Bombyx mori: one gene and its partners. The protein of the gene in region 1 binds, or shares a complex with, the protein of each later gene. Links are inferred from orthologs where the notes say so. Each region holds a gene or a part of one and is shown in the gene's direction. Other genes may lie near its edges. The genes, in order: U5 small nuclear ribonucleoprotein 40 kDa protein, CD2 antigen cytoplasmic tail-binding protein 2 homolog, peptidyl-prolyl cis-trans isomerase H, U6 snRNA-associated Sm-like protein LSm2, U5 small nuclear ribonucleoprotein 200 kDa helicase, G-patch domain and KOW motifs-containing protein and pre-mRNA-splicing factor CWC22 homolog.

Evidence for each region.
Region 2: U5 small nuclear ribonucleoprotein 40 kDa protein (region 1) and CD2 antigen cytoplasmic tail-binding protein 2 homolog share a complex: the UniProt entries of both Homo sapiens proteins name them as parts of the U5 snRNP complex. The link is inferred for Bombyx mori from reciprocal best matches to the Homo sapiens genes SNRNP40 and CD2BP2.
Region 3: U5 small nuclear ribonucleoprotein 40 kDa protein (region 1) and peptidyl-prolyl cis-trans isomerase H share a complex: the UniProt entries of both Homo sapiens proteins name them as parts of the U4/U6-U5 tri-snRNP complex. The link is inferred for Bombyx mori from reciprocal best matches to the Homo sapiens genes SNRNP40 and PPIH.
Region 4: U5 small nuclear ribonucleoprotein 40 kDa protein (region 1) and U6 snRNA-associated Sm-like protein LSm2 share a complex: the UniProt entries of both Homo sapiens proteins name them as parts of the U4/U6-U5 tri-snRNP complex. The link is inferred for Bombyx mori from reciprocal best matches to the Homo sapiens genes SNRNP40 and LSM2.
Region 5: U5 small nuclear ribonucleoprotein 40 kDa protein (region 1) and U5 small nuclear ribonucleoprotein 200 kDa helicase share a complex: the UniProt entries of both Homo sapiens proteins name them as parts of the U4/U6-U5 tri-snRNP complex. The link is inferred for Bombyx mori from reciprocal best matches to the Homo sapiens genes SNRNP40 and SNRNP200.
Region 6: U5 small nuclear ribonucleoprotein 40 kDa protein (region 1) and G-patch domain and KOW motifs-containing protein share a complex: the UniProt entries of both Homo sapiens proteins name them as parts of the minor spliceosome. The link is inferred for Bombyx mori from reciprocal best matches to the Homo sapiens genes SNRNP40 and GPKOW.
Region 7: U5 small nuclear ribonucleoprotein 40 kDa protein (region 1) and pre-mRNA-splicing factor CWC22 homolog share a complex: the UniProt entries of both Homo sapiens proteins name them as parts of the minor spliceosome. The link is inferred for Bombyx mori from reciprocal best matches to the Homo sapiens genes SNRNP40 and CWC22.

The regions. Positions count from the first base shown.
Region 1 is NC_085109.1:1,114,560-1,119,387, forward strand, and holds the start of U5 small nuclear ribonucleoprotein 40 kDa protein, read left to right. Parts: upstream 1-1,671; 5' UTR 1,672-1,901; coding exon 1,902-2,018; intron 2,019-2,329; coding exon 2,330-2,456; intron 2,457-3,017; coding exon 3,018-3,221; intron 3,222-3,542; coding exon 3,543-3,785; exon of another isoform or gene 3,786-4,347; coding exon 4,348-4,526; exon of another isoform or gene 4,527-4,828. UniProt on the Homo sapiens protein: Required for pre-mRNA splicing as component of the activated spliceosome. Component of the U5 small nuclear ribonucleoprotein (snRNP) complex and the U4/U6-U5 tri-snRNP complex, building blocks of the spliceosome.
Region 2 is NC_085111.1:10,749,701-10,754,198, reverse strand, and holds the start of CD2 antigen cytoplasmic tail-binding protein 2 homolog, read left to right. Parts: upstream 1-1,471; 5' UTR 1,472-2,923; intron 2,924-3,247; 5' UTR 3,248-3,381; intron 3,382-3,607; exon of another isoform or gene 3,608-3,853; intron 3,854-3,978; 5' UTR 3,979-3,991; coding exon 3,992-4,174; intron 4,175-4,363; coding exon 4,364-4,498. UniProt on the Homo sapiens protein: Involved in pre-mRNA splicing as component of the U5 snRNP complex that is involved in spliceosome assembly.
Region 3 is NC_085116.1:6,471,784-6,475,347, forward strand, and holds peptidyl-prolyl cis-trans isomerase H, read left to right. Parts: upstream 1-1,690; 5' UTR 1,691-2,030; coding exon 2,031-2,114; intron 2,115-2,203; coding exon 2,204-2,380; intron 2,381-2,462; coding exon 2,463-2,756; 3' UTR 2,757-2,774; downstream 2,775-3,564. Other genes in the region: coenzyme Q-binding protein COQ10 homolog A, mitochondrial, read right to left, coding at 2,944-3,409. UniProt on the Homo sapiens protein: PPIase that catalyzes the cis-trans isomerization of proline imidic peptide bonds in oligopeptides and may therefore assist protein folding. Participates in pre-mRNA splicing.
Region 4 is NC_085129.1:20,029,740-20,032,733, reverse strand, and holds U6 snRNA-associated Sm-like protein LSm2, read left to right. Parts: upstream 1-1,851; 5' UTR 1,852-1,924; coding exon 1,925-2,212; 3' UTR 2,213-2,292; downstream 2,293-2,994. Other genes in the region: protein suppressor of forked, read right to left, coding at 994-1,023. UniProt on the Homo sapiens protein: Plays a role in pre-mRNA splicing as component of the U4/U6-U5 tri-snRNP complex that is involved in spliceosome assembly, and as component of the precatalytic spliceosome (spliceosome B complex).
Region 5 is NC_085130.1:11,205,380-11,209,446, forward strand, and holds part of U5 small nuclear ribonucleoprotein 200 kDa helicase, read left to right. Parts: intron 1-91; coding exon 92-236; intron 237-2,072; coding exon 2,073-2,209; intron 2,210-2,636; coding exon 2,637-2,743; intron 2,744-3,089; coding exon 3,090-3,207; intron 3,208-3,919; coding exon 3,920-4,017; intron 4,018-4,067. UniProt on the Homo sapiens protein: Catalyzes the ATP-dependent unwinding of U4/U6 RNA duplices, an essential step in the assembly of a catalytically active spliceosome. Plays a role in pre-mRNA splicing as a core component of precatalytic, catalytic and postcatalytic spliceosomal complexes.
Region 6 is NC_085127.1:6,327,742-6,332,533, reverse strand, and holds the start of G-patch domain and KOW motifs-containing protein, read left to right. Parts: upstream 1-1,828; 5' UTR 1,829-2,135; coding exon 2,136-2,254; intron 2,255-4,792. UniProt on the Homo sapiens protein: RNA-binding protein involved in pre-mRNA splicing. As a component of the minor spliceosome, involved in the splicing of U12-type introns in pre-mRNAs.
Region 7 is NC_085110.1:1,337,518-1,342,122, reverse strand, and holds the start of pre-mRNA-splicing factor CWC22 homolog, read left to right. Parts: upstream 1-1,348; 5' UTR 1,349-1,577; coding exon 1,578-2,625; intron 2,626-3,148; coding exon 3,149-3,806; intron 3,807-4,605. UniProt on the Homo sapiens protein: Required for pre-mRNA splicing as component of the spliceosome. As a component of the minor spliceosome, involved in the splicing of U12-type introns in pre-mRNAs. Promotes exon-junction complex (EJC) assembly.

The DNA.
Region 1 (4,828 bases):
GTGTTCCAATAGAAGATGAAACGTAGTCGAAAGTTTTAGAACGTATTGTAGTTTGACAAAAGTTCGTCGTTTTATTCGTTTTAAGTATGCGTATGCTGTAGTCGTCGTGGCTTAACGTATAAGACGTCCGGTGCATTCGTGTTGAGCGATACACCGGTGTTCGGATCCCGCAGGCGGGTACCAATTTTTCAAATGAAATAAGTACTCAACAAATGTTCACGATTGACTTACACGGTGAAGGAATAACATCGTGTAATAAAAATGAAACCCGCAAAATTATAATTGTAATTACTGGTGGTAGGACCTCTTGTGAGTCCGCGCGGGTGGGTACCACCGCCCTGCCTATTTCTGTCGTGAAGCAGTAATGCGTTTCGGTTTGAAGGGTGGGGCAGCCGTCGTTACTATACTTGAGACCTTAGAACTTGTATCTCAAGGTGGGTGGCGCATTTACGTTGTGGATGTCTATGGGCTCCGGTAACCACTTAACATCAGGTGGGCTGTGAGCTCGTCCACCAATCTAAGCAATAAAAAAAAAAAAATGCGTTCTCGTCTCTTTTAAAAGTTCATTACACAAACAAAGCGATCGGGGCTACACGTGAAAAAATTGTAACTTAAACAAATGATTTATAGCCGTCGTGACCTAAAGGATATGACGTTTGGTGCATTCGTATGTAGCGATGTAACGATGTTCGAATTGCGCAGGCAAGTGCCAATTTTTCTAATGAAATACGTACATATCAACTAAACTGACTTCCACGGTAAAGGAATAACATCGTGTAGTAAGAACAAAGCCCGCAAAATTATAATTTGCATAATTACTGATGGTAGGACGTCTTGTGAGTTTGCACGGATAGGTAGCACCACCCTGCCTATTTCTGCCATAAAGCAGTAATACGTTTCATTTCGAAGGCTGGGACAACCATTGAATTTTTGAGGAGGCAGTCTCCTCCCGGTGATGGTCACGGGGCCTCCCCCGGGCCAACTCCCTCACCTGAGGGGGTTGAGGCTGCGCCGCACGCTACCTACCATCACTCTAGCGCGCTGGCACAAGGAGGACGGGACAACACGTCAGCGACTACGGCCTGCAATGCGGTCCGCATTGTCGTCGTCACTATCGTCGCCGAACATACTGTGGAAGAGCAACGCGGTCGGAGGTGTATCGCGTTCTGACCCATCAGGCTGGTTTTGGCCAAGCAGAGTATCCCAGAACACCAGCGGCATCGCCCGGGCGGCCAGGTAGGGCCACCGTACCGCGGAGACCAGCGTCATTGGTCATCGACTACCGTCTCGACGACCCGTCGGTCAGGGGTCCTCGGAGGGGCGCCGCGTGTCTGGTTATAGTGTTGACCGCGGGAACCCCCCCTACATTGTCCGGATTCTGAGCCCGGACGGAGATCGGACGTTGGGTGTAAATGTGCAAGGGAGTCGTTTAGTGCGGTAGGGCCCTAAAACTCCTTGGGCCCGCGGTCTGCTCCCAAAACCTGCAGATCGTAAAGTTCCACATATCTCACGCCCTCTTAGGCGCGGGGACCTCTTAGAAGGATCGGCCCCGGGCCCGAAAAAAAACCATTGTACTTTAAAAACTGGGACATTAGAATTCAAATCTCAAGGTGCATGGCGGCATTTACATTGTAGATGACTATGGGCTCTAGTAAACACTTTAAGTTCTTCATTTTGAATGACTCATTATCTCATCTTCTCATCTGAATAGGTATACAAAAAAAAAACTTTTTAGAAGGTAGCTTTGTCTTTTGTTACAAAGAATTTGGCGATATTGGCTATTTTCCTTTTGCCTATACAATTGACAAATGAAACAAGCTAAACAGTCCTTATACCATTTTTAAGGTTAGTATTTCTGTTTGTAGCTATAAAAACAAATAGGTAAATAAACATCTTAAAAAATGCCAGATATAGAAACTAAAAGAAAAGCAGAGGATGTGTCTCTTGTACCCTCCAAGCGAGTACGGCATGAGATCTCAGTAGTCGGCACCAGAGAAAAGGCAGTTGTTACTTCATCTGTGAGTATTGTTTTCAATAAAGTTTACTTATTTTCTCAATAGTACGGTCTATAAAAGCTAAGAACTCTAACGCCACGGTGAAAGCATCAAGAGATCATAATTATAATTATTAGAAATGGAACATAACATCTAAAATAAACTTTTAGAAAAACACAATCTGTACTTAGGTAATCATGATTGATATTTGTTAAAATTTAAGGTAATACGAATTTTAGTCGGCTTTTACTTTAAGATTTATTTTTCAACATTTGTAGTGATCAACAAGATTCCAAGATTCCTGTGTTTTGTATTTTATATTCTTGTCGTTCTAGGTTCCACGAACATCAAACTTGTATGCGCCAATTATGTTGTTGGAAGGACACCAAGGAGAAATTTTCACAGGCAAATTTCATCCTGAAGGCAAACATTTGGCTTCTGCAGGCTTTGACAGACAAATATGTAAGTAACAAAATCATGACAAAGCTTTTGAATTGGCAAAGTGTTTCTAAAATTCACACTCTAATAATATACTACTATCAAAACGTTAATGAAGAATTGACACATTTGATAACACAAATTATAAGATTACAGTAGGTAGGTTTTAAATTTAATTGAAAAGAGTGAACAAGGTAAAATCTGACCTAGTGTATAAGTGATTATTGGAGACCATAGACATTATATTACAGCGTCTTAAATTTTCTCTGAAGTCCAAATCCATTTCAGTTTGATTTAATATGCATTATTAAGAATGACTGCCAGTACCAATATCCCAGGCATGGGCCACACTGTACTGGGGTTTTAGTGACACGAGCCCTATAATGTAGGGAACAATATGATACAATACTCAAAATGATAGCTGATATAAACTGTTTAGCTTAAGCCACCATTAATATAAAAAAATACAAAATAAATGTTTATACCATTGAAAATTTCCACCAATGTCAGGGTCATGTTGACAACTTATAAGCTGTACAAGTCCAACTTAGTAATATTATGATTTTTGATTTCTTATTTTCACAGTAATATGGAATGTGTATGGTCAATGCGAGAATGTGATGGTGATGAAAGGTCACACGGGAGCAATAATGCAGCTTTGCTTCTCACCTGATGGTTCACATTTGTACACTGGAGCTACGGACAATACTGTAGCAGTATGGGACGTACCCACCGGGACTAGAATCAAGAAGTTAAAGGGTCACGCTAACTTTGTGAACTCTGTTTCAGGTATGTTTCATAGTTTGAGTTTTGACACACAATGGTTTTCATGCTAGTGCTTTTTAGTAGTACAAATACACAACAGTAACTTAATTAAACATTACTTTGCACTCTCAGAGCCTTAAAGTGATTGGATCCAAATAAAGTGGGATTGACCTAAAATTGAAACTATAATCCGTAACCATGGTTTGAAACCAGATAACATCAATCTAAAATCTCAATGCCTGTGGATACAATAGAACTGTAAATTCATTCATGGCATCCATTAAAAAATTGGTTTAGACAACGTAACAATCTATTCTAACTTTCTCGTGTTATCTCTATATCCAGGAGCAAGAAGAGGTCCAGAACTCTTAGTTTCAGCTTCAGATGATAACACCATAAAATTATGGGATGCAAGGAAAAGGAATCCAGTTGCATCGTTTGACAGTTCATATCCAGTCACAAGTGTACTCTTCAATGATACAGCTGAAAAAATTTTATCCAGCGGTGTGGACAATGTCATCAAAATGTGGGATATAAGGAATAATCAGATTTCCTTGAAAATAAAAGGACATACAGACACGGTTACAGGTTGGTAATTCTTTATTGATTCTGATTAATTAGATTTTTATTAGGTGATAATACTGCAACCAGAAATTAAATTAAAATATTGATACAGTTTATCTAGAGTGGAGTGAGGGCAATATGATGACAGTAATGACTTCAGTCTATTAGTTAACTACTAAAATACTGATTACCATACAATGTATTTAACAAATATTGATCTTATGAGGAAATGAGAATGGATTGATTGGTATGCAGTACAGTAGTAGTAGTTGCATACATATGTATTTCTCTTTATAATCCCTGTTGTTACTTGTTGACGGGTGTATTGTAAACTTCTTCACCCATTCTGCCTTCGGTAGCCCAAACTGGTATTAGGTAATTTTAGAGAAATGTAACAGCTATTATTAGAATGTCTCTAGCCTTATAAGTAGTAATAATTCATGACTAAGACTACTTGTTTAGTTTACTTGTAGATCGTGAAGTCATCTACCCAGGTGCGGCAATAAATATGTGAATAGAAATCATATGAGTTTGATACATTTAATGACTGGCAATGTCTAACTTGTGTTGCAATACTCGTTTCCAGGATTATCATTGTCATGGGATGGTGCATATCTCCTGTCCAATTCAATGGATAATACACTCCGTATTTGGGACGTTAGACCGTTTGCACCAACAGAACGCTGTGTCAAATTAATGTCTGGCCACCAACACAACTTTGAGAAAAATCTGCTCAGATGTGCATGGTCTCAGGATGGCTCCAAGGTTAGTAGTTCACTCGTCTTGAAAAAAAGTACTCTAACATTTATATTTTCCTAATAGCCATTGTCTTAGTAGACTCCCCAATGTTGAAACTACTGCCGGGCGAAGTCAGACTTCTTTTGTAATATTTCTAGTTGTACCTTCAGAGCGGAACTGAAGGTAACTGCATCAAATGAACCTAGCTATTGTCAAATATTCTTAAAATATACAATGAGCTGTAGAACTCCGTGAGTACCTTAAGTTTTATAATTTATTTATTCCCTATATGCCCCATACCAGGTGACAGTAATGTTGTATACCTTGCA
Region 2 (4,498 bases), on another chromosome or scaffold:
TTCTCCTCTTCTGTTTTCTGTGTTTATAAACTCTGTCACTAGGCTTATATCTTCTAAATTCCACCTCTACGCAGACGATCTCCAGCTATATCGCCACTTCTCAGAGCCTGACGTTGAATCGGCTATTGCTGCGATGAACAGTGATCTGAAGTCTATCACTGAATGGGCAAAAGCCTACGGTCTGCACATTAATCCGGGAAAATCACAGGCTATCATTATAGGGGGTAAACAATTGCGCAGTAGACTCAGCGATCCTATACTCCCCCCAATTTATTTGGATGGGACTCAAATAACTCTAACCGATTCAGTTAAAAACCTGGGTGTATGGATCGACATCTTTCGTGGAGTTCTCACGTTGCTGAGATTAGTAGGAAGGTGCACTTCGCCTTGCACTCGTTGAGATGTCTGCAGGGCTTCTTACCTCAGCATACAAAAATATCTCTCGTCCAAGCTCTCATTCTACCCATAATTGATTACGCCGATGCCTGCTACTTGGATGCCACTGAGGAGCTCTCAAACAAGCTTGAGAGGATGCAAAATCTATGTATCCGTTTTATATACAATCTCAGAAAATTCGATCATGTTTCACATTTTCGCAAAGAACTTAAATGGCTCCCTATACGCCTTCGTAGGAATACTCGAATATTATGTCTCCTATTCAATATCCTACATAAGCCCACTTCTCCCTTATATTTACGTGAGCGATTCTCTTTCATTCGTTCTCCTGATGCTCCCTGCAGGTCCAACCAACGTTCTGTTTTGTTATTCCCTTCTCACAAAACCAATTTCTATTCTCACTCCTTTACTGTGCACGCGGTCAGACTGTGGAATTCGTTGCCGGCTGACATCCGAGTTTGCAAGTCTGTTTCTGTTTTTAAATACAAGGTCAAACAATTTTATCTCTCATCAACCGAGTGATCATGGTTCTATACTCTTCGTATATACGAGTGTTACTGTGACTTATAATATTTTGTACTCAAGTTTAACAATATTTGGTATGTGTAAGTGCATTACTATAATTCTCATGTTGTATTTGTTGTTTTAGTTATGTATTATTTGTTCTACACACACTTATCACTTTTTATTATTATTCTCATTATCCTCTCGCAGGTTTGCTGGAAGAGATTTCTTAAAGAAATAAGCAGTGCCTTTGTACATAATTTTCCTATTACTCTGTACTATGTCTTTTTTTCTGTGTGTACATAAATAAATAAAATAAATAAATAAGTTATTCCTTCACCGTGGAAGTCAATCCAGAATATTAGTTGAGTATGTATTTCATTAGAAAAATTGGTACCCACCTGAGATTCGAACACCGATGCATCACTCAACACGAATGCACCGAACGTCTTATCCTTTAGGCCCCGACGACTTTTTTATCAAGGTATGTTGCTTAACACTCAGCTAAGCAGTTTCCCTGGCGAAAGTCGACGAAATGCGGTTTGAAGTGCTTGATCTTTTTTTTTGGACTGGGGGCCGAACTTTCTAGGAATACCCCGCCCCTAGGGGCGCATGGGGTATGGGAGTGAACCGCGGGCCTTCTTTTTGTTTTTTTTTAACGCTGTAGAATCCGTACGGTTACCCGGTTGAGGGGGCTTACTGACCGCTACGACTCCACGAAACCCACAATACCGCGCCGAAAGTCCGCCTTCGCCGGTACCGCGGGCCTAAAGGATAGAATTTAGGGCCATACCCACTACACAACTCCCCTGCACTCTCGCCCAATCGTCTGATACCCTTCCAGGTCAGAACCCGGGTGAGGTAAAGGGGTTATCGCGGTCAACACTACAGACAGCGCAGCTCCCCCGAGGACGTCCGGTCGACGGAGCCTTTGAGACGGAATGCTCTACAGCCGTCAGCCGTCTGGGTACGATAGCCCGTCAGGCCACCCACACAGTGCGACTGGAGTCCCGGAATACCCCGCTGGACTAGAACCAGGCTGTCGGGTCGGGATGCGATACATCGCCAACCGGTTGCTCTTTTTTCACGTTGATTGTGTAATTCTTCGGTAGCGCACTACAGTGCTTCAGCTGAAGCAACATCTATTTTTTTCTAATCCAAAAGTGTGACAGTTTTTTTTCGCAAAATAACTCCCGAGTGCTATTTAAACAGTTTGTACAGACAGTTGTTTGTTTGTTAAATAAATACATATACATAAATATATACATATAAAAATGTGTATATATAAATAAATATCAATTAGATGACTCTGCTAACTCTTAGCAGAGTCATCTAATTGATTCTAAGTACTCGAAACCTTGTCTTAAACTCTGGCCGACCTTATTTTAAGTGGGAGCGCATTCCATAGAAGAATAGATTGAATAGTGAAGGAAGAATGTAAAAAGTCCGAACTACCTGCGAACTAACAGCGAAGAAGAAGATTGTGAGATGAACGAAGATTTTGGCTGTAGTCAAACCCTAAGTATTCAGGTGGATTTGGGAAGTGCAACAAAGAGTAAAGAGTACTGAGAGCACGCAAGCTACGGCGTTGTCGAATGGGGAGCAATTTGAGTTGGGAGCGATGAGAAGATACATGATCGTATTTCCGAAGATTATAAATAAATCGAATGCAGTTATTGAGAAGCCGGTTAAGTTTATTGAGTAGATCTGCATTCAGGTCAAAGTAGCACACATCACCATAGTCGATCATGGGGAAGATCAAAGTTTAAACGAGCATTGTCTCTTGGTTTCGGGCGGAAGGATATTGTTCAGGCGGTAAAGCATACGGAGTGTAAGTGTAACTCACTGACACACGGAGATGACCTGGGCTCGCCAACTCAGGCTGGAGTCAATAAGTAGGCCTAGGTCCTTTACAACCGAACACCAGTTGATGGTTAAGCCAGCATATATTATTTGATAATAATATAAGACGACTGTGATATAAAAACTTTATTTAGTGTTTGAGCCATCATATATATTAACGGTAAGTCTCAATTGTTATTGGTTTTAATGTTTTTTGATAATTTAAAAATACATATTAAAATTGTTATGTTTGGGGTTAATGGGGTCACCTGAGCTACAAATAACAATGAAAGGGAGGTCAATTGGGACGACAATAAGTTGAATGGGAACGACTTAAGTATAAATACGTACAGGATTGTAGGGTTGTCTATGTAGTTATAACAATCTTTTTTAAACGTGTTGGTAAGAATCTCATTTATTCATGATGTTTTTGTCTAAAACTTTTATTTAATTATTAGTGCAATTATATTTATATTATCAGTTACGTATTGTTTTCTATTTTTAGATATGCCTCGCGTGTATGTATCAAAGAGTGCAAGCTTTATAAGAGATATGATCCCTTAATATTAAAAACAGCAATAGAAGACTATGAATTTGGGAATAAGTCTTTAGTTGAAATAGCTAAGCAATTTAATATAAGTAAGTCGGTTTTGCACAGATATATAACAATTAAATCTCAAAGTGGACAAAAATGTCTAAGTAAAGAAGAAGAAAAATACAGTTACACACATATTAAACAGTTAATAAACCACCATTATTACATATCTAAACCCGAAGAAACACTAAATAGACAAAATAAAACAAATCACACAACTTCACCCCTCGCGTTCCCGCCAAAAAGTCCTAAAACCAAACATCGTAGTCATAGACATAGATTATACACTTAAATATTCGAGTCATTGATACACATAATAAAATTAATAATTGAGATTTGAGACCATACCTTGATAGACATAAAAACATTGATTTCATTGATAGCGTACCTAACACACGGCAACAGACACACAATCACAATTAAGAAGAGGTACCAACCGTGTACCAACCTAGTTGAATCTGATTCACTCAATTTGAGTTCACCTATTCAAGAAAAGGCGCCCAAAATATTATTAGGGTGAGGATGAGTAAAACTTTGCTTAGTGTTCAATGATAATTTAGGAATGTGCCTATAGTTTAAAGTCTTTGTTAGATAAACCCAAATATTTTTTAATGTTTTTAATTAAAATTTGTTCCTTTTAGTTACTTTACCAAAATGTCAAAGCGTCCCGCTTCCGAAGCATTAATAGACGAAGTAAAAAAGGCCACGAAGGATGGCAAGAAACATTCCTTGGATTCCGACGAAGAAGATAGTGGTGCTGAAGAAGAGAAGAATAATGTTATGAACTCCAATGATATTGAAGGTGAAGAGGAAGGAACTGGTGGAATGGAAGGTGAAGTGAGTAGAATAAGTCAAAAACCTAATCAGAATACTCAAATTGTTGTGAGAATTAAAAAATGTTTCTTTTTCCAAACAATACTTAAAATGCTTTTGAGGATAATTCAGCTAATTTAATATTAACAACTTAATTAATACTTATAACTATCAAATAAAATATTAATTTCATTAATTAGTACTATTTTATAGATTACAATAACACCTTTTAACATGAAAGAAGAACTTGAAGAAGGGCATTTTGATACACAAGGACATTACCATTGGAAAAAAGAAAAAGAAATTCGTGATGGATGGCTTGATAACATTGACTGGGTTAAAGTAAAA
Region 3 (3,564 bases), on another chromosome or scaffold:
CGGTCGGGCGTCCTCGGGGTGGCGCCGCGTGTCTGGTTGTAGTGTTGACCGCGGGAACCCCCCTACTACTGGGTTACCTGGTTTTGTTTGACCCAGGACGGAGATCGGACGTCGGATGTAAGAGTGCAGGGGAGACGTTTAATGGGTGGGGCCCTAAAATTCCTTGGGCCCGCGGTCGGCTCCCAACACCTTGCAGATCGTCAAGTCCCACATACCCCGTGCGCCCCCTAGGCACGGGACCTCGTAGGAGGTTCGGCCCCCGCCCGAAAATTATAATAATAATAATAAATGGTTAGGAATTGGACTTGGAAAAAATGAATGACTAAATATTAGAATCAGAAGGAGATTATTGTATGTCTGTATTTTAAACTATACTGATAACTATATAGATGTATATTTTGGAACTTTGCAATATTTATACTCTATTTATTATAATACTATATTTATATAATTAAACTTTATACTTTAAATTTCAAATATTTCATAATCAGACATAATTAAAATGATTACATAAAGTAACTAAGTTTTTTTGAAATCTAGATTAATTAACATAAAAAAGTAAACGAAATGAAACCGACCCAAAGTTTTAAGTTACACTGTGGTGGTTGTTGGCATTCACTTTGTAAGTATTCGTTCCGATGAAAACTTAATATCAGCCAAACATAAAACAATAAATAAATAAAACTGCAATAATATGTATACTTTTTTATCTATTCACTTGAATCGAAAATGAACATTCATCACATCCAATTATTACACTAGATTGCACAAAATTACTTTTATTAAGCACATACACCCCACCACATCTACAATCGTATAAATACACATTTTCATCACTGTCAAACACCATTTCAGACAGTCTTACTGTTTCATAAAGCAATAGATCACTATTTTCATGGCAACTTAATGTAGCATCATACTGTTTCCTGGTGCTAGGTTCTCTTAAAACTGACCAAGCTTTTTGTAATAGGCGAAACTTATTATCAGAATCATCAGTTTTATTTTTATCGGGATGTAATGTCAAAGCGAGTCGCTGATAACTTTTCTTCAATTCTTCAAGGCTTGCTGTTCTATCGCAATCTAGTATTTGATAATAATCAATAGGTAGGTCATTACTTTCCATATTTAATAAAAACTCGTAAAAGAGTTTTATTTATAAAAAATAGTTTACCTCTCTTTAATTCAATTGCTGTTCCCACTTCCCAGTCTTTGATTAGAATTTTTTTGTATTTTATTTATGGCCTGGCCCAGTCTTTGATTGATTGTTTGAAATTCATTCTTTATTGTATTATCTATAATTTGTTCATTGGACGGGCAAAAGGAGATAGACCATACAAATTTCAATACTCTTGTCACAAAACTGTAACCTTTAAATAAATATAAATATAATATATATAAATTTAAATGTATGTTAGGTAAGGGGAATAATGGAATTAAATTAATTGCTCATGGGATAAAATTTAAGGAAGTGAATTAAGAAAGACATCACCGTAGGTATTTGTTAGATAATAAATAAGGTTCCATTAAAACTTATAAGATAGGTATGGCGTTCAAATCTGAAGAAACGCACAATTTACGAAATACAATAATTTACACGACTTTGTCCTTCCCCGAAAAAAAGTCCCGCCCAATATACAATTGTTGACGAATAATACCATAGTCGTCTGTGATCACGAATACTTTATGTAGTTATTCTAAGCGTTAGAAATAATTGAAATTAAACGGTTAGGATAGTTTTATTATTATCTACGATTCGCCGAAATAGAAGAAACTGCTATAATCTTAAAATGTAACAAATTCGCTAAACGTGAAGTTTTGTCCTTTGAAGTCACCAGAAATTCCGTTTTTAGATCTGGACAAATAGGCTTGTAAGCTACCTAATGTCAAGGAAAGGATGTCAAAAGTATAACCTCAAAATTTGACAGCCGGGTAACAATAAACATCAAACAAACTAAAACTTATAGAAGTTTTAAATTGTTAACACAAATGTAATGTTGTTTTAGTAAAAATTTCAATATTAACACATTGAAATGCCTACTTGGAACCAAATACAGTCACAACTTAGGAATCCTAACAATCCAGTAGTGTTTTTCGACATTACTGTAGGAACAACGGTAAATACCTCCCCGAACTTATTGTTTTTTATTAGATTTAAAAGAACACACAAAAATTTATGTTTATAAAATATTTATGTTTATTTTAGGAAATAGGTCGTATGATATTCGAGTTATTCGCCGACGTAGTACCAAAAACTAGTGAGAACTTCAGAGAATTTTGTACCGGTGAATACAGGCGGGATGGTGTGCCCTTAGGTTACAAAGGAGCTACTTTTCACAGAGTAATAAAAGATTTTATGATTCAGGGTGGCGATTTCGTAAATGTACGTATTAAGTTTTGTTTATGATAAAACGATGCCTAACTGAACATGATGGAAGTTTATTAATATTTACTATTCATTTTAGGGAGACGGTACAGGCGTTATGAGCATATATGGTGGAAGCACTTTTGCAGATGAAAACTTTGGTTTGAAACATGACTCTCCAGGGTTATTGTCCATGGCAAATAGTGGTAAAGACACGAATGGCTGTCAGTTCTTTATCACATGTGCAAAATGTAATTTCTTAGACAATAAGCATGTAGTATTTGGTAGAGTTATAGATGGATTACTTGTCATGAGGAAAATAGAAAATGTACCAACAGGACCAAATAATAAACCTAAAATACCAGTAACAATATCTCAATGTGGACAAATGTAAATAAAACTTCACTTTAAATTTTATCTTTTTATTATCATTAAATCACAATGGCTCTGCCTCACATTTCTAACAGACTAATAGATAAAATATAATATTCACAAATTTTTACATAAAGTAATCACAATAAATACTCAATAATTATGTACACTGAATTGAACTAATTTTTTTGGTTTGCAATTAGTAAGCGTCAAGTTTTCAAAGTGTGATTGTTTATTAGTAACTTTCTAGGCTGCATTGTTGCCGGCCCATTGCGCCTTCCGACTTCTTTAATGAAAGCACCTTCCATTTGTCGAGCAACTTGGTCAAAAAACAAATTAGATAAATGTGAATGTATAGCTGATCTAAATTCGAATGTTATCTGGAAGTCCACAACACACGACTGCTGTTCTCTTTTTAGACCAGGACTGAATCTCCAAAGGGTCAACATATGGTGGAAGAGTCTTCCATCAGAACACTCTGCTTTTACCAAATGTGGTTTGACTAGCGTAACATTTGAAGTGTAGCTTTCATTGATAGGAGGAAAGCCAATGATCAAGTCCGCCTTCAGGTTTCCTGGTGTTTCTTTCAAAACTATAGACTTTTTGCACCACGGTAGGAATTTGTTGTAGCTTCCTACATCTGATACAACTTCAAACATTTGCTCCATTGTGTAGCTGTGAAAATAGATTTATATGAAACTAGATTCCATTTTAAGGTATACAGTAATGGATATAAACAAAAATAAAGATAATGATTTACTGTTAGGCTATTAATCCAGCTATGATTAGTTCATACTAAATATAAAAACGTGTTCGGCACTTAAATTGTA
Region 4 (2,994 bases), on another chromosome or scaffold:
TTTCTCTGAATTGTCTACTTATTTTCCTATCCTTTATTTATATATCCTTTACTCTATTTCATTTATAACTGCAGATGAGCGATTGGGCTCACAGTCTGCATGTGGTATTAAATATTTACTAGAGCCCATAATGAAATAAAAATCACTACAATACAATATAATACAATATATGTTTCATGAGATCAAGCTGTTGTACTTTTTATACATACATACAAACTTTTTATAAATAGTCTTAATTACATCTAAGAAGTTTACAGTTATAAAGTGTAATGAAGCTTCAGTGGGGTATCTAACTCATTATAATTTTTTTTTTATTGCTTAGGTGGGTGGACGAGCTCACAGTCCACCTGGTGTTAAGTTATTACTGGAGCCCATAGATATCTACAACGTTAATGCGCCACCCACTTTGAGACATAAGTTCTTAGGTCTCAAGTATAGTTACAGCGGCTGCCCCACCTTTCAAACCGAAACGCATTACTGCTTCACGGCAGAAATAAGCAGGGTGGTGGTAGCTACCCGCGCGGACTCTCAAGAGGTCCTACCACCAGTAAGAGGCTAAACAGCTAATTGGCGTTTTTAAAATATGGATTAGAGTAATTATATAGGATCTAGGTACTACAATTTGGTTTTTTCTTGAGAAATTGTAATGATCTTAGCAGACAGCTGGTTCCAGTGTAATCGCTTGTAATGTTGGTTTAGTGGTTGATTATTAGTTTACGTTACTACAGGTCGAAGTCAATGTTACTTAATGGCTTCCGGTTTTGGAGCGCAGTCACAACTCTCTCGTGTTTTCGGTATCTATAAAACTAAGGATCCTCTTTTTTTTTTCTAAATGACTATCTTGTTTAGAACTACACAACAATCGATTGCTAATACATGCACTTATATAAACGAATTACACAACATTCAGGAATATCAAATCAAAAAAGAAAACCTTTGTTCTTTTAGTTTTTAATTATATTCAATTAATGCGACTAATGCGTAAAAACTCACAATGTCGGCGATTTCATCTACAGATGCCATTTTGAAGTTTACGTTTGAGGTTATCTATCTGGTTTTAAGTCCGAGCAACAGTTTTTCGAAGAACTAAGTAAATGAGGTACTGATTGTTTGTGGACACATTACTCTCAGTGTTAAAATCGATTTAAAACAATAAAAAAACACAATTTTCTTTAAAAAATTAAACAACTCAACCAAGCTCAAACGGGATTAGCGGACGCTATAGATTATACATTTCGCTTTAAGGAATTTTATGACCTGGTAATTAAGATCTTTAAGTCATGTCTTATTTTAATTAATATTCTTATTTTTATGAAAAATGTTACAATTATGTAGTGAAATGACATGAAATGAAGATGATTAATTTTAGATATTAATCAACTGCGATGAAATTAAATTAAATTAGATGAGATGAGATGATATGAGATGACATATTCTCAGTAAAATGGTGGTCATTGACTGAGATTTTTTCAGTGGACTTTTTGGAGGATCTCGAGAAGCTATGTCCAGCGGCTTTATTTCATTTACCCACATTTGTACACTTTCACAGATATTAAACAGTCAATAAACCACCATTATCACATTAAATTAGATTACATTATTACATTTAAGCCTGAAGAAACACTAAATAGACAAAATAAAATAAATCACACAGCTTCACTCCTTACGTTCCCGCCAAAAAGTCCCGATTTGTTTTAAAAATTTAAGCACAGGTAACGAAAACGTAGTAAATGCAAGACATTGGAAATGAGATGGTGCTCCTGCACAAAACTAACAAAATTACGGAAAATACCGATTCACACCGCTACAAAAAGCTATTGGCATTGACATTTTATGATTTTGACTTTGAGTTTTAAATGACATTAATTGAAGAACCCAAGCCAAATTACTGTTTCAGCGCGTTTTCAAACAAACAAAACGAAAAATGTTGTTTTACTCGTTTTTCAAATCGTTAGTCGGTAAGGATGTAGTCGTCGAGCTGAAAAATGACCTCAGCATATGTGGGACGTTGCATTCTGTGGATCAATATCTCAATATAAAGCTTTCGGATATAAGCGTGATTGACTCTGAAAAGTATCCTCATATGTTATCAGTGAAAAATTGTTTTATAAGAGGCTCCGTGGTTCGATACGTACAACTGCCGGCTGATGAGGTAGACACCCAGCTTCTCCAGGATGCCGCTAGAAAGGAGGCGACCGTTTCAACAAGATAGAACTTAACCTAACCTACAACTTCAATTTAAAGTGTACATATTAATATAAGCTTAAGTTTCTTAATAAATCATTCTTATAATATAGTGTTTTAGTAGCGGTCTCCGGATATTCATTTCAGAAAAGAAAGTTTCCTTTGATCGAAAAATAACCTAGTTCTTCAGTTTTATGTAAGTTTTATACCAGAGTATGAAAGAATAATTTATCAATAAAAAACATCTATATTTTTACCATTCTCAAAAATGTATCACAGAAAAAAGTTTTTATTACCTTTCACATCAAACTATACTGATAATTATTAGACATAGCTGCATTCCTTAATACTTAAGCCTTTTTTCAAACCAGAATTGATTTAGATCTCTAGTGTACATAATTTGGATGTAAATATTTACAAAGCTGTTATTTTGGATTTTTAAGATATACTTTTTCTGAAGATGGCCATGTCATAGTTTTCCATAGGCAGAAGGGATTGTAAAAGCATCATTAAAATATGTTGCTTGCCAAACACTGAACCTTCCTGAAACCTGAACCTTTTAAACCTTCTCTGGACTTCACGAATAATTCAAGACCAAATTTAGCCAGATCGGTCTAGCCGTTCTCGAATTTTAGCGAGACTAATGAACAGCAATTCATTTATATATATATAACTAGATAGATTACAGAAATATATAGATAGAAACATAATTTTAAAACTACATTTGTTGTAAGTTTCCGTTACATATTGAAATTTTGTTAGTGAAAATATGATAAATGAACACCTTTCTAATCTATGTACAATATTTTT
Region 5 (4,067 bases), on another chromosome or scaffold:
ACTTTTTCACTAAGTAAAGAGATTTTTGTTGATACCTACACTCATTAGAAAAATAATGATAAAAATATGTTGTTAAAATATAAAATTTCAGGTGGGCAACTTCAGCAAGCGTCTGTCCGCTTACAACATGAAGGTCTCCGAGTTGACCGGCGACCACCAGCTCACGAGGGAGCAGATCGAGGCCACGCAGCTCATCGTGTGCACTCCGGAGAAGTGGGACATCATCACCAGGAAGGGTTAGCATATCCATATATCTATATATATATATAAAATGAATTGTTGTTCGTTAGTCTCGCTAAAACTCGAGAACGGCTGGACCGATTTGGCTCTTACACTTAACACTTTCTTCCCTGTACAGCGGGCGGAAAACCGAACTTTCGGCGTAGGTAGGAGAAAAATATATATTAGCATTGTGCACTTCTATATATTCTCTATATTCTCTATAAGTGTGGAAATGTTCATACTGCTCCGTCCGCGCAATTTTCGTAAAAAGGGATACAAAGTTTTTGCTTCACGTATTAATATATAGATATCACACATATCACTCGCGAAAACTAAACGATGCATATTGAATTGGGAACATGGTTTATGCAATGAAGTAGGAAACCTATGGAAATGAAACGTCAACCAAAATTTCGTGCCAGTGTGACGTCATCTGGCCACAAAACATGGCGGCTTTAGTGCTGTACAAAAGATTTCAATGTTATCAGGTTTTATCGATAAACGTTCTTGGCTCATTTTATTTTAAATATTGTTGAGTATTATTTATTTGTAGAATTTATACTTTAATGGGAAGTAAGTAGGTATATTGTTATGTGCAAATATGATATGATTTAGATGGGTGAAATCTAAGACAAGTTCGTCCTTCGAATTTGCCAAGTAAACGATATGATGATTTTTAAAAGTTGCTACACTGATTTTATAAAGTTGTCGTTTGTCGCAAAACATAAAGATATGGCGTAGTTCAAAGCCATCAGCCCATTTCTAGCATGCTAAATGTTATCGTATTTTGAGTACGTGTTTTTCTTAGACTATTACAATCTATTTTAATTGTTTTGCTGACTCCAAAGTCCGTAAAACACTACCGCAGCGCACCCCAAGGAAGGTGCGCCGCACCATTTGAATCACTTTCACTTGAGAGTGATTCAAATTTTAAACTTATCAAGGGACCGCGTGAAAAAAAAACACCTACAGAACATTTATTCATTATTAAAAACGTCATTCCTTGTGACTTCCTCTCTAAAATCACTTAATTATTAAATATTTAACAAATTTACAATAGTGTTTTACTCACTGCGGAATAAAACTATTTTATTTAAATAGTTCCGAAGAGATTTTGTCGGTAGCCTTTTTCCCGAAATATCTAAACAGAATGTCTAAATATGTTTTGATGACATATTTTAAAGTGGTATTTATGATTAGTGTCATGATCAATAGATTCCGACCGAAAAATGGATTTTTCGGATGAGGGCTCCATAATGAATTTAAATACATATAGATAATAGTTTTAGGGCATCGACTTTCTTGAGATCCTATAAAATACGTTTTAATTATTATTTTTGTATGTTTTAAGCATGATAAATTATGAAATTTTATATAATCAATCATATTAAATCGATATCAAAGTCAATAAATAATGTACAACCCAAAACAGACGGCCGAACTGACGTGACAATGACATTTGGCGCGCTAAACATGGCGGATTTTCGGCCTCATTAGACGGAGACGGAGATATTTACGTATATTCATGTTTCATTTTATGTACGCACTGAAATACTGTTATATTGTTTTCCTGCGAGTTAAAGTGCTGAGTAAGAACGAGATAGATATATGTTTATGTGTGTGCCTTCAAAATGGGTGCTATTTATATAAGCAATTGTACGTATAGAACAATATGTCGTGTCCCTACTATATAGGTCTATGGGTTTATGTCACAAATATCATTCGAGTTGCAGTATAGACATCTGTCATTTCCTATAATGTCAGCTCATCCGCTGTCAGTAATAATAATAATGTCACTCGCGTAGACAAAACACGCGCGGTCGTTATTGACACTCTGTTTGTCTGCGCAGGCGGTGAGCGCTCCTTCACGAACCTGGTCCGGCTTATAATCATAGACGAGGTCCACTTGTTGCACGACGAGCGCGGGCCCGTGCTGGAGGCGCTGGTGGCGCGGACCCTGCGGACGGTCGAGCAGACTCGGGAGGAGGTAACGTGTTACTACTACCATTACTATTATTACTACCACTATCGCACTACTACTACCATCACCAGTACTACTACTACTACCACCTCCTCTATTACAACTACTACTACCACCACAACCACTACTGCTACCACCACCGTTACTACTACTACTACCACCACTACCATCACTACCATCACTACCCCCACCACCACTCCCACTACCTCTATTAGTACTACTAATACTACTACTACCACCACCACTACCCTATCGTCAATCCTCCGTGGGCTACGTCTCCACACATCCGTCGCAGCGTGTTCCAGGGAGAGATTATTGCATTTTATTACTATATAAACATTTAAACTCTAAATTTAGATTTTAGAATACCATAAAGAAAAAAGATAAATCGCATTTAATTCGGCGCGAGCTAATATTGCGTGTGCGCCCGCAGGTGCGGCTCGTGGGCCTATCCGCCACGCTGCCTAACTACACGGACGTGGCCACCTTCCTGCGCGTACGACCCGAGAAGGGACTCTTCTACTTCGACAACTCCTTCAGGTGGGCCTATGTAACGCAACGTAATGGTGTGGATGAATGCCTGAGTGAGAGAAAGATGGGAGATGTCGTGTTAGGAAGTAAGAAAGACTGCGAATGAATGCTGAACGCATAGTTTTATTTTTTAAGCGAAAGGAGGGTAGCTACCGGATAGGGACAACTTTTTTTTTATGACCTAGTAAATAACACCTTTAGGTCAAGTCCAAACACCACTAATCCTGCTACTTAATCCGTATACACAGCCCACTGAGCTTCTCTCTTCTACCTGTCTTCGCTTAGCTGGTATAGTCGAGGCTGTTAATATTTACTGGCGTCGGAAGGTATTACTAATAAAGTGTTGATGGAACAGACCGGTGGCCCTCGAGCAGCAGTACATCGGCGTGACGGAGAAGAAGGCTCTCAAGCGGTTCCAGGTGATGAACGACATCGTCTACGAGAAGGTGATGGAGCACGCAGGCAAGAACCAGGTAAGTAGACCCGGTAGACGACACCCTGGATGACTGGTGGTAGGACCTTTTGTGAGTCCGCGCGGGTATGCACCACCTATTTCTGCCGTGAAGCAGTAATGCGTTTCGGTTTGAAGGGCGGGGCACCCGTTGTAACTATAGTGAGACTTTAGAACTTATATCTCAAGGTGGGTGGCGCATTTACGTCGTAGATGTCTATGGGCTCCAGTAAGCAGTTCACACCAGGTGGGGGGCTGTAAACTCGTCCATCCAAATAAGCCAAAAAAATTGTGAGATGACAAATAGGCAAAGGAATTTAAGTGTCACTGTCATATAGTAAAAAAATAAGCCTTGGTTGTCTGTAAAGTCGATTTACGAACGATAGTTTATGTCATAACGGCAGGATATGCGAACTGCTAGCTTTGACGTCACGCGAGAAGAGAGATAAATGTATCACAAGTCAATGCTTATTCCGCCCTCTCGCTTGCACGTACAGGCTCAGGCGGAACGATTTATAAGACATGATCAGGCCAAAACATTTTTTTTAAAGATAATCAAATCAAAAGCGACTAATTATAACGTTGGGTTTAACATACAAAGGCAAAATCAAAAAGACAAAATCAAAACACAAAACGAATTTGAACCTTAGCTGTTAGTGATTAAGGTCGAAATTCGTTTGTTGAACGAATGGTACATACATAAATTTGTTTTAATTATTTTTAATTAATTACAGATATTAGTGTTCGTCCACTCGCGCAAGGAGACCGGGAAGACGGCGCGCGCGATCCGCGACATGTGCCTCGAGAAGGACACGCTTGGACACTTTTTGAGGTCGGGAATTTTTTTCTATTAAATCCGTAGCGAAGTCGTCATGGCCTAAA
Region 6 (4,792 bases), on another chromosome or scaffold:
TTTCTCGTAATTCTTTTTTTTTTTATATGGAACTTTCTATCCGGTGTCCCACGACACCACACATCTTTTTTATAAGTTTCACTTATCCCGTATGTGACTTGCACACACACACACACCTTTTTTTTCATTAAGTTTTTTGCCAGCACCTTTTGTTACACGAAAGCAGTTTTTTGTTGACGAACTTGTCTATTTTTATTCTACTGACAAATAGTGTACTGGGTTTTAAACATAAATGCATGCTTTAACTATAATTATGCTTTTTTCCATTCCATAAATATTATTTTAAAAAATAGTGATAGGGAGCCCAGACTAGATGATTTATTATTAAGGGATTTTATGACCTGGTAACTAAGACCATAAGGTCAAGTCTTATTTAAATTTTAATGTGTAACTTTTTATATGAAAATGATATTATGAAATGAAATTAAATGAAATGAAAACGAAACGAAATGAAATGGGATGATATTAACATACCTAAGCTACCCAACCAATTTTTTAAATACATCAACAGTTGATGTATATAAATATATATATACACCAATTTAGGAATATTATCTGTGGCGGGCAGCCATCATACAACGATTCATCATCAGCGCATCAAGAATTTCGGCTACCACAATCCCCGCATTCTCGCAAATAAAACGTCATTGACAGTCGTCCCACAGCAAGCCAGCACCGCAGCCTCAACAGGACCATCGCAGCCGACTCACCGCGCTTCCTGGTCCTACGGCACACAACTTCACTGCTTCATCACGCCGCTACAGTTCATCGCAGCCCACGACCGGATCATCAACGCTTGGGGTCACACATCTCCGGCGTGGCAGCTCTGCATCACATGGACTACGCACGACACGCACGCAACGTTCAAGCTCAGTCTCGACTCACTGCAGACTTCGAGCAGCACTGGCGACAATCACGCAGCATTCAGCTCAGTTTCGACTCACTGCAAACTTCGAGCAGCACTGGCGACACGCACGCAGCATTCAAGCTCAGCCTCGACTCACCGCAGGCTTCGAGCAGCACTGGCCCTTGCAAGCTAATCTCAGCACGGACAACGCTAACTAAAAAATGACACGACCTCCAGTCTCGGAGGGGAGTGATGTGGCGGGCAGCCATCATACAACGCAAGATAATTGACAGATGCCTGAATCTCGCTTACGACATTTTCAAGATAAAGCGCATATATACAAGTTCCAAACAACAACATTCGGACCGTCGGTCTACCGAGCAATATCATCCGCTCGGTGGAAGATCTTCCCTTTGTCGTATATACCCAAATATCTATGGCATACACGATAAAGGCAGAACTCTCAAAATTCTCAAATATTAAGTGTATAAACTATGGGGCAGAACGGCGATATCATCTAGTCTGACTTTTTGGCGGGAACGCGAAGAGTGAAGTTGTGTGATTTGTTTTTATTTTGTCTAATTAGTGTTTCTTCAGGTTTCAATGTGTAATAACGGTGGTTTATTAACTGTTTAGTATCTGTGAAAGTGCACAAATGTGGGAAAATGAAACAAAGCCGCTGAACGTAACTTCTCGGGATCTTCCAAAAAGTCCACTGAAAAAGTCTCAGTAAATGACCACCATTTTACTGAGATTATATTTCATCCCATATCATCTCTTATCACTTCATACCATTTCATCCCAAATGATTAATGTCTCAAATTAATCATCTTCATTTCATTTCACTCCATATTATCATTTTTCATAAACATAAGAATATAAATTAAAATAAGACATGACTTAAAGGCCTTAGTTACCAGGTCATAAAATCCCTTAAATTTTTTTTGTGTATAATCTATGACCCATAGATTTTTTTTGGTACAACTTTTCCTTATTAGGAAAAGCAAGGGGATCTACGCCCATACAATCTTTGACCCATAGATTATCCATTTAATACTTTACTGGATGTCAAATGTCAATATTATGTCAAACTCAAAGCAAGAAATTTGATCGACATCGTTGAAATTATAAAGTGAAGGTCAATGCGAAGCGAAGCAAACCAAAACATATAAATTCAAGTTATTAACGAATATAATTTTGAGCGAATCAAATCAAAAGTGATGCATTTGCAAAATTACTTGTCTGTTTTAGTAAATTTGTGCAGTTTATAAGAACTATAAGAACGAAAATGGAGGGCAAAAAAATATCTTTTGGTTTCATGAAAACGAAAAAAGCAGAAAAACCAGTCGTAGACGAAAAAAAGGACTATATAGAATGTGTAGAGGAGAAATCTATCAAAGTAGTCGGGTAAAATGACATCAAATACTTTAGAAAACTACGTTAACATTTTAAAATTTTATTGTTTTCATTTTAAAATCAAATGTGCTCTTTTTTTTATTGCTTAGATGGTTGGATGAGCTCACAGCCCAACTGGTGTTAAGTGGTTAATGGAGACCAGAGACATATACAACGTAAATGCGCCATCCACCTTGAGATATAAGTTCTACGGTCTTAATTATAGTTACAACGCCTGCCCCACCCTTCAAACCGAAACGCATTACTGCTTAACGGCAGAAATGGGCAGGGCGGTGGTACACACCCGCGGGGACTCACAAGAGGTCCTACCACCAGTAAAAAACAACAAATATATTAATTTACTTTAAACTAGATATCAACTGACTTGCAGACTTAATATTAGTAATGTCACTTATGAAAACGATCATAGAATGCTGCAGTCATAAATTCTATGAAACAATTTTGCTTGAATGGAGATGAAATTTGCCTGCATTTTTAACCAACAAAAAGGGGGCTCCTGTGTTCTTGTAGATAGTAGGATCTTCCCTTTTCCACGCGATATCACCCTCATGAACAGTGATTACATTGTTTTTTAAGGAAAATACTAAAAATGATTCCAAAATCAAATACAAAACAAACAAAGAAAAACTGGGGAAATGTAAAATAAAAATGGGACTTTGGGTAAACAGTCTTCCTAATTTATGCCAAAAAAGATCTCCAAAATTGAAATGTGGGAGTATGTACCTCACATCAACTTCTACACATCTACCTTAACACTTAAATTTTAGCTTTCCATGTTAACTATAAAATTTTACCAAACTCAATCTGCATTAAGGTAAAAGCACTAATGCTGGACATTGAACTAAAAGATGACACTTTAAAAAAAAAAAAATTCTAATAAGGAAACTAAACACTTAAATAACATTGCTGTTGATGTTAGACACCTAGTACCATGTATGATACATTCTCAAAAGCTTGCGTACAGTGTTAGAAGCAAATTTCAAATTGGCATCAGTTGACAACAAACAATGTGAGCAGGTTGACGTTTTGCGCGTAATTCTTAGCGTATTCCTTAAGCCATCTGACTTTTAACAGGTATGATTTTGTCTTATATTTATAATTATTGGCTACTGTTGGTTTCGATATTATAAATGTATGAAATTATTGATTTATTAGGACCAATTCCTTGTTATTTTGGTTTGTTTTTGTACAAATTTTAAGTGGTGTTTACTATTAGTACCAAAAATGAATCAAAACCTAAAAGATGACACGTGTGTCTTCTACTAGGGTTACATCGAACTGAATTTGTTAGCTTAATTTTCTTCAAATTCAGCCTTTATGTTGTAAAACAAAAGTTTCAATCTGAGTTTCGTTCATTTTACACTAGTCTAACTAAACGAAGACAGTGTCAACTATTAGGGTATACTAGATGTCAACTATTAGTATCAATTAATTTCAGCTTAAGTTTCGAGCACGATGCCACCAGTAAAGGGTCGGATGTTTCAATACTCTGAAGCCAATATTGAAGAAGCCATAAAAGAATGTATATGTTTGAGGATTTACTGGTGGCCCTGAGGCCTTTCCAGTTTCACAAGGACAGAAGGGACGGGATTTGCTAACAGCTACCCGAGCGCCTCCAAGGGAGACCTAACAACTCAAGAGTAGCTGCTTCGCGAATGAATCTACTACCGGATCGGGATCGCGACCCGCTGAGAAGATCCGGCGAGAAACTCAACGGGCTGATGCTTAGGTTAGGTTGCACGTTAGGTTAGGTTGAACTCTTTGCAGAGTTCGACGAATACCATTACCGGGATCTCTACTCCTAGTGTTAAAGCGGAAGGCGTCTAATGTAAGGGTTATTGGATCTGTTGGATCCGTAAGGAGGTGTCTAGGGCGACGACGGTGACTGGCTCCTGCGTGGTCAGGATTCGGGGAGTAGTCAGCGGCGGCAACGATAAGGCGATTATCATGACGCATTGCCTTATCGAAGTAACGTTCCGACGCGGACTTCATGTATTTTTTGATCGGTTCGAGGTCCAAGTCGTCGTGTAAGTCGACGTTCCTCACGAACCACGGGGCTCCGACTGCTAACCTGCAAAAACGAGATTGTAGGGATTGGAGGGTGTCTATGTGTGTACGGGCCGCGTGAGCAAACACCACACTCGCGTAAGTCATGACCGGCCTTATGTAAGCTTTGTAAAGTGTCACCTTGTTCCGAAGGGACACTTTACTCCGCTTACAGATCATGGGGTAGTCTGCCGAGAATAAAAGCGGCACGGTCGCGGACTGATTTTATATGTGGGTGGAATGTCATGGATGCATCCAGGGTGACTCCCAAGTACTTGACCTTCCTGGTTCAGGATATGAGGGGGGGCGTTCCGACAGCTTCTGCGGCAAAGAAATTTGGAGTTCCACGAGTAACTTTATTAAATAAAGTCAAGTGAAAGACACCTATTATGCGTAAAATGGGAAGAAGTTGTTATTTAACCAAAGATATAGAAAAAATACTCGTAACATGGGTAAAAGCTATGGTCAAACAAGGGTTTCCAA
Region 7 (4,605 bases), on another chromosome or scaffold:
AACAGTGACCAGTATAGCTAACTATAAAAGAACAGTTTCGCAGTATATTAAATTGACGTCACATCTTACAATGCTGGCAGTGCTTATCGGAGCATAGCTGTAGTGTGGCTGCTTATGGCGTTGTTCTTGAAATCTTTCCGCTTTTCTTTGTGGGTGACGCATTTACGTTGTAAATGTTTTTTTTTTATGATTGAAAGATTACTGGTGGCCCGGAGGCCTTTCCAGCTTCACCAGGACAGGTGGGCGAGCAAAGGCTCAGCCAGGAGGGGTGGGATTTGCTAACAGCTACCCGAGCGCCTCCGAAGGAGACCTAACAACTCGAGAGCAATTGCTTCGCGAATGAATCTACTACCGGATCGGAATCGCGACCCACTGAGAAGATCCGGTGAGAAACTCAGCGAGCTGATGCATGGGTTAGGTTGCACGTCGACCTCTTTGTCGAGTTCGACGAGTACGGTTACCGGGGTTCCTCAGCCTGCTCCTAGTGTTAGAGCTGAAGGTATCTAATGTAAGAGTTATTGGATCTGATGGATCCGTAAGGACATGTCTAGGGCGACGACGGTGACTTGCTCCTGCGTGATCAGGATTCGGGGAGTAATCAGCGGCGGCAACGATAAGGCGATTATCATGACGTGTCTATGGGCTCCGACGACACGAGAACCCTCTCAACGTGGCCGCCGATAACTACATTGCCGATCTTGCGGACCAAATGGTAAACATTCGACGTCACCCAAAATACGTCATCTCGGATCCTCCTGATCCACTAACGGTGCTTTTAGGTACCCCAAGCACCGGTCATCGTTCTCGTCAAGCCCCTCGCTTGCGACGAAGGACTGGGTGAATAAATTAACCCACAGACACAGCCCACTGAGTTTGTCGCCAGATCTTTTCGGTGGGTCGTGTTTCCGATCCGGTGGTAGATTCTGCGCAGCACTGCTCTTGCTAGGGTTCGTGTTAGCAACATCGTCAGGTTTGAGCAACGTGAGCTCACCTACTAGCCTGGTGACGCTGATATGATCTCTCTAGAACATCAGCTTAGGTAGGAAAAAAAAATCTTTGCTGCAAACATTAGGATTATCCATTAAATTAGCACCTAACAGCGCCGAGAGTGGATAATCTAAAAAAGTTAACTGAATTTGTCCAAATACATAAACACCATTTTACTGATATTATATTTCATCTCATATCATTTCGTTTCATTTAATGTCATCTCAAATCTCAATTGATTAATGTCGCAAAAACAACTTCATTTAAATTTTTTTAAACAATACTTTACTTTATTAGGCCGTATAGTATGATACCTTCACCTTTTCAGTTGGAAAACGGAGTTACTACTACTCTACTACTACTGACATGACAGTAAAATAAAAATGTCAAAACAAAATGGCTGTTTTATTAAGGTCAAGCTGGATTTTACTTAGTGCACGTTCTACTTTTTCATCGAAATAAATTTCATGATTTTACACATAATATTGAAAATGAATAGTTTTAATAATATTGAGTTCTAGATACAGTATTAAATTCTTTTATAAAAAGTTCAATTGTAGTCTAGTAGTGTCAAAACAAAAATCATAAGAATGGAGAAGACTAACACCAAGCAGAAGAAAGATAAATACGAGGAAGATGATGAAAGGCGTAGGTCGAAAAGGTCGAGACGGGCTAGATCTAGATCTAAGTCACTTGAGGAACAGCAGAATAGGGAGTATAGAAGTAAACGCCGGCGTTCCAAATCACGCTCACCTCATTACAAGGCTAGGGAAGATAAACGAGTTAAAGACACACAAAAAGAGCCAGAAACAAAAAAAGATGCCTCTACAAAGCCAGAAAGACGCGCAAAAGATACTGATATGTTGAATACTAGAACAGGAGGTGCATACATTCCACCAGCAAGACTGAGGATGATGCAAGCGCAGATCACGGATAAGTCCTCGATAGCTTACCAAAGACTTGCCTGGGAAGCTCTCAAAAAGTCAATTCACGGTCACATCAACAAAATTAATGTCGGTAACATAGGTATCATTATAAAGGAATTATTGAAAGAAAACATTGTCAGAGGTCGAGGTTTGTTATGCCGTTCTGTTATTCAAGCCCAGGCAGCCTCGCCAACATTCACTAATGTATACGCGGCTCTAGTATCAGCAGTCAATTCACGTTTTCCTAATATCGGGGAGTTGTTACTGAAAAGATTAGTGATTCAATTCAAAAGAGGTTTTAAACGCAATGATAAGTCAATTTGCATTTCCTCTGCATCTTTCATTGCACATTTAGTGAATCAGAGAGTGGCACATGAAATTCTGGCTTTAGAACTTCTCACTTTACTAGTTGAATCACCAACAGATGATTCAGTTGAAGTTGCCATAGCATTCTTAAAGGAATGTGGCCAAAAATTGACTGAAGTATCATCTAAAGGTGTAAATGCAATTTTCGAGATGCTAAGGAACATTTTGCACGAAGGTCAGTTAGACAAAAGAGTTCAGTACATGATAGAAGTAATGTTCCAAGTTTGGAAGGATGGGTTCAAAGACCACCCGGCACTGATTGAAGAGTTGGAGCTCGTGCCTGAAGAAGAACAGTTCACACATCTATTGATGCTGGATGACGCTACAGATCCTCAAGATATCCTGAGTATGTTATATTCTATTAAACTATCCATAAAAAAATAAGCCATAAAACACTTAAGTAGATTATCTGTACAGTCTGTCAATTGAATTATTTGTTCCCCTAAGTTATTTAATAGCTATTGAGGGTATGCACAAGAGTTATTGTAACACTTAAAATGCTAAAAGTTTTGAGTGTATATAACACTCTAAACGAGTAAAGTTTTAATTTTTAATAGGATTAATCAAAAATTTTTATATATAGTTTACATAAAAATGCTTTTAGCTTATTTAAAAATGTAACTTAAACAATCTCAATTTTTTTTCATATACTTTTTGCTTTAAGTTTTAAGATAGTAGTACTCTGTGTTAGTGAATTCAATATCCATTATTTTAGCCTATTTTTATTTTCCATCGTATGTATTAACTCATTTATGCCCAACATTATTGAATGTTATAAACAATTTATCTTAATGCTCCATTTAAAACAAATGTAAAATAAGCAAATTAGTATAAAAGAATAAAAATAACAATTTTCCCAAATGCTTCAGATGTTTTCAAATTTGATGAAAAGTATGAAGAGAATGAACAGAAGTACAAGAATCTTTGCAAGGAAATACTTGGTTCTGATGCTGAGTCCGGTGATGAAGATGGTTCAGGAGAAAGCGGTAGTGAGGAATCTGATGAAGAAGATGAAGAACAACCAAAAAAAGAAATGACTATTATTGATAACACAGAAACAAACTTAGTGGCTCTGAGACGCACTATATACCTGACAATCAACTCCAGTTTAGATTTCGAAGAATGTGCTCATAAACTAATGAAGATGCAACTGAAACCAGGACAAGAAGTGGAACTATGCCACATGTTCTTAGACTGCTGTGCTGAGCAGAGAACATATGAGAAATTCTATGGCTTATTGGCCCAAAGGTTTTGCAACATCAACAGAATATACATCGGACCTTTCGAGGAAATTTTCAAAGATTCATATTCAACAGCACACAGGTTGGACACGAATAGACTCAGAAATGTCAGCAAGTTTTTCGCCCATCTGCTGTTTACAGATTCCATTAGTTGGGAATCTTTGGAATGTGTTAAATTGAACGAAGAAGACACAACTAGTTCTAGTCGGATATACATAAAGATTCTGTTTCAAGAACTGGCTGAATACATGGGACTAAAGAAACTGAATGACCGTCTACAAGATCCGTTCGTATTACTTTGTTTTGATGTTTTTTTAGTTTTATAATAATAAATAAACCCTCAATTTCAAATGGAAATATGACAAATGACAGTGGAAACTCTTTGAAAGGATAGCTCAGGGCACAGACAAGCGATTATATATTGCTGAGAGCAATGACAGTTGTTATGAGAGGTTCACAATAATGAATGTTGATTTTAACTACAATTGCTACATTGCTATGCTCATGGGTGTGATTTAATACTAGCTTTACCCTTTCTTTTGAGTTAGGAGATGGTTTCGGAACCAGTGAACAAAGTTTACGGCTTACCAAAAACTATCTTTATGGTTTAATCTTGCGAACTTTATTACTAGCGAACTGCCCTCGCTTTGCTTCGGAAACATTAAATTTTATTATTGATAGCTGAGCCCCGCGATGTTAACCGCGGTTATTGTCGTACCGCGGATGAAGCCGCGAGGCGAAGCTAGTCTAAAAAAAGTAACATAAGTTACTCCTTATATCATCAGCTACCTATCAGTAAAAGTCCCTGCAAAATCGGTCCAACCGTCCCAGAGATAAGCTGGAACAAACATACAGACAAAAATTGTAAAAAATGTTATTTTTACCGTATATATTCATATGAATGTAGTAAAAAGAGGCTATTTCAATATTACAAACAGACACTCCAATTTTATTTACATGTATAGATTATTTTCGAATACTAACAGTTTTCGTGGTTACGGACGACAGAGTTGTTATTCGTGAACATTTTAGTAGCTCACATCCCATCTGGTGTGAAGTGGTTACCGGAGCCCATAGACATCTAC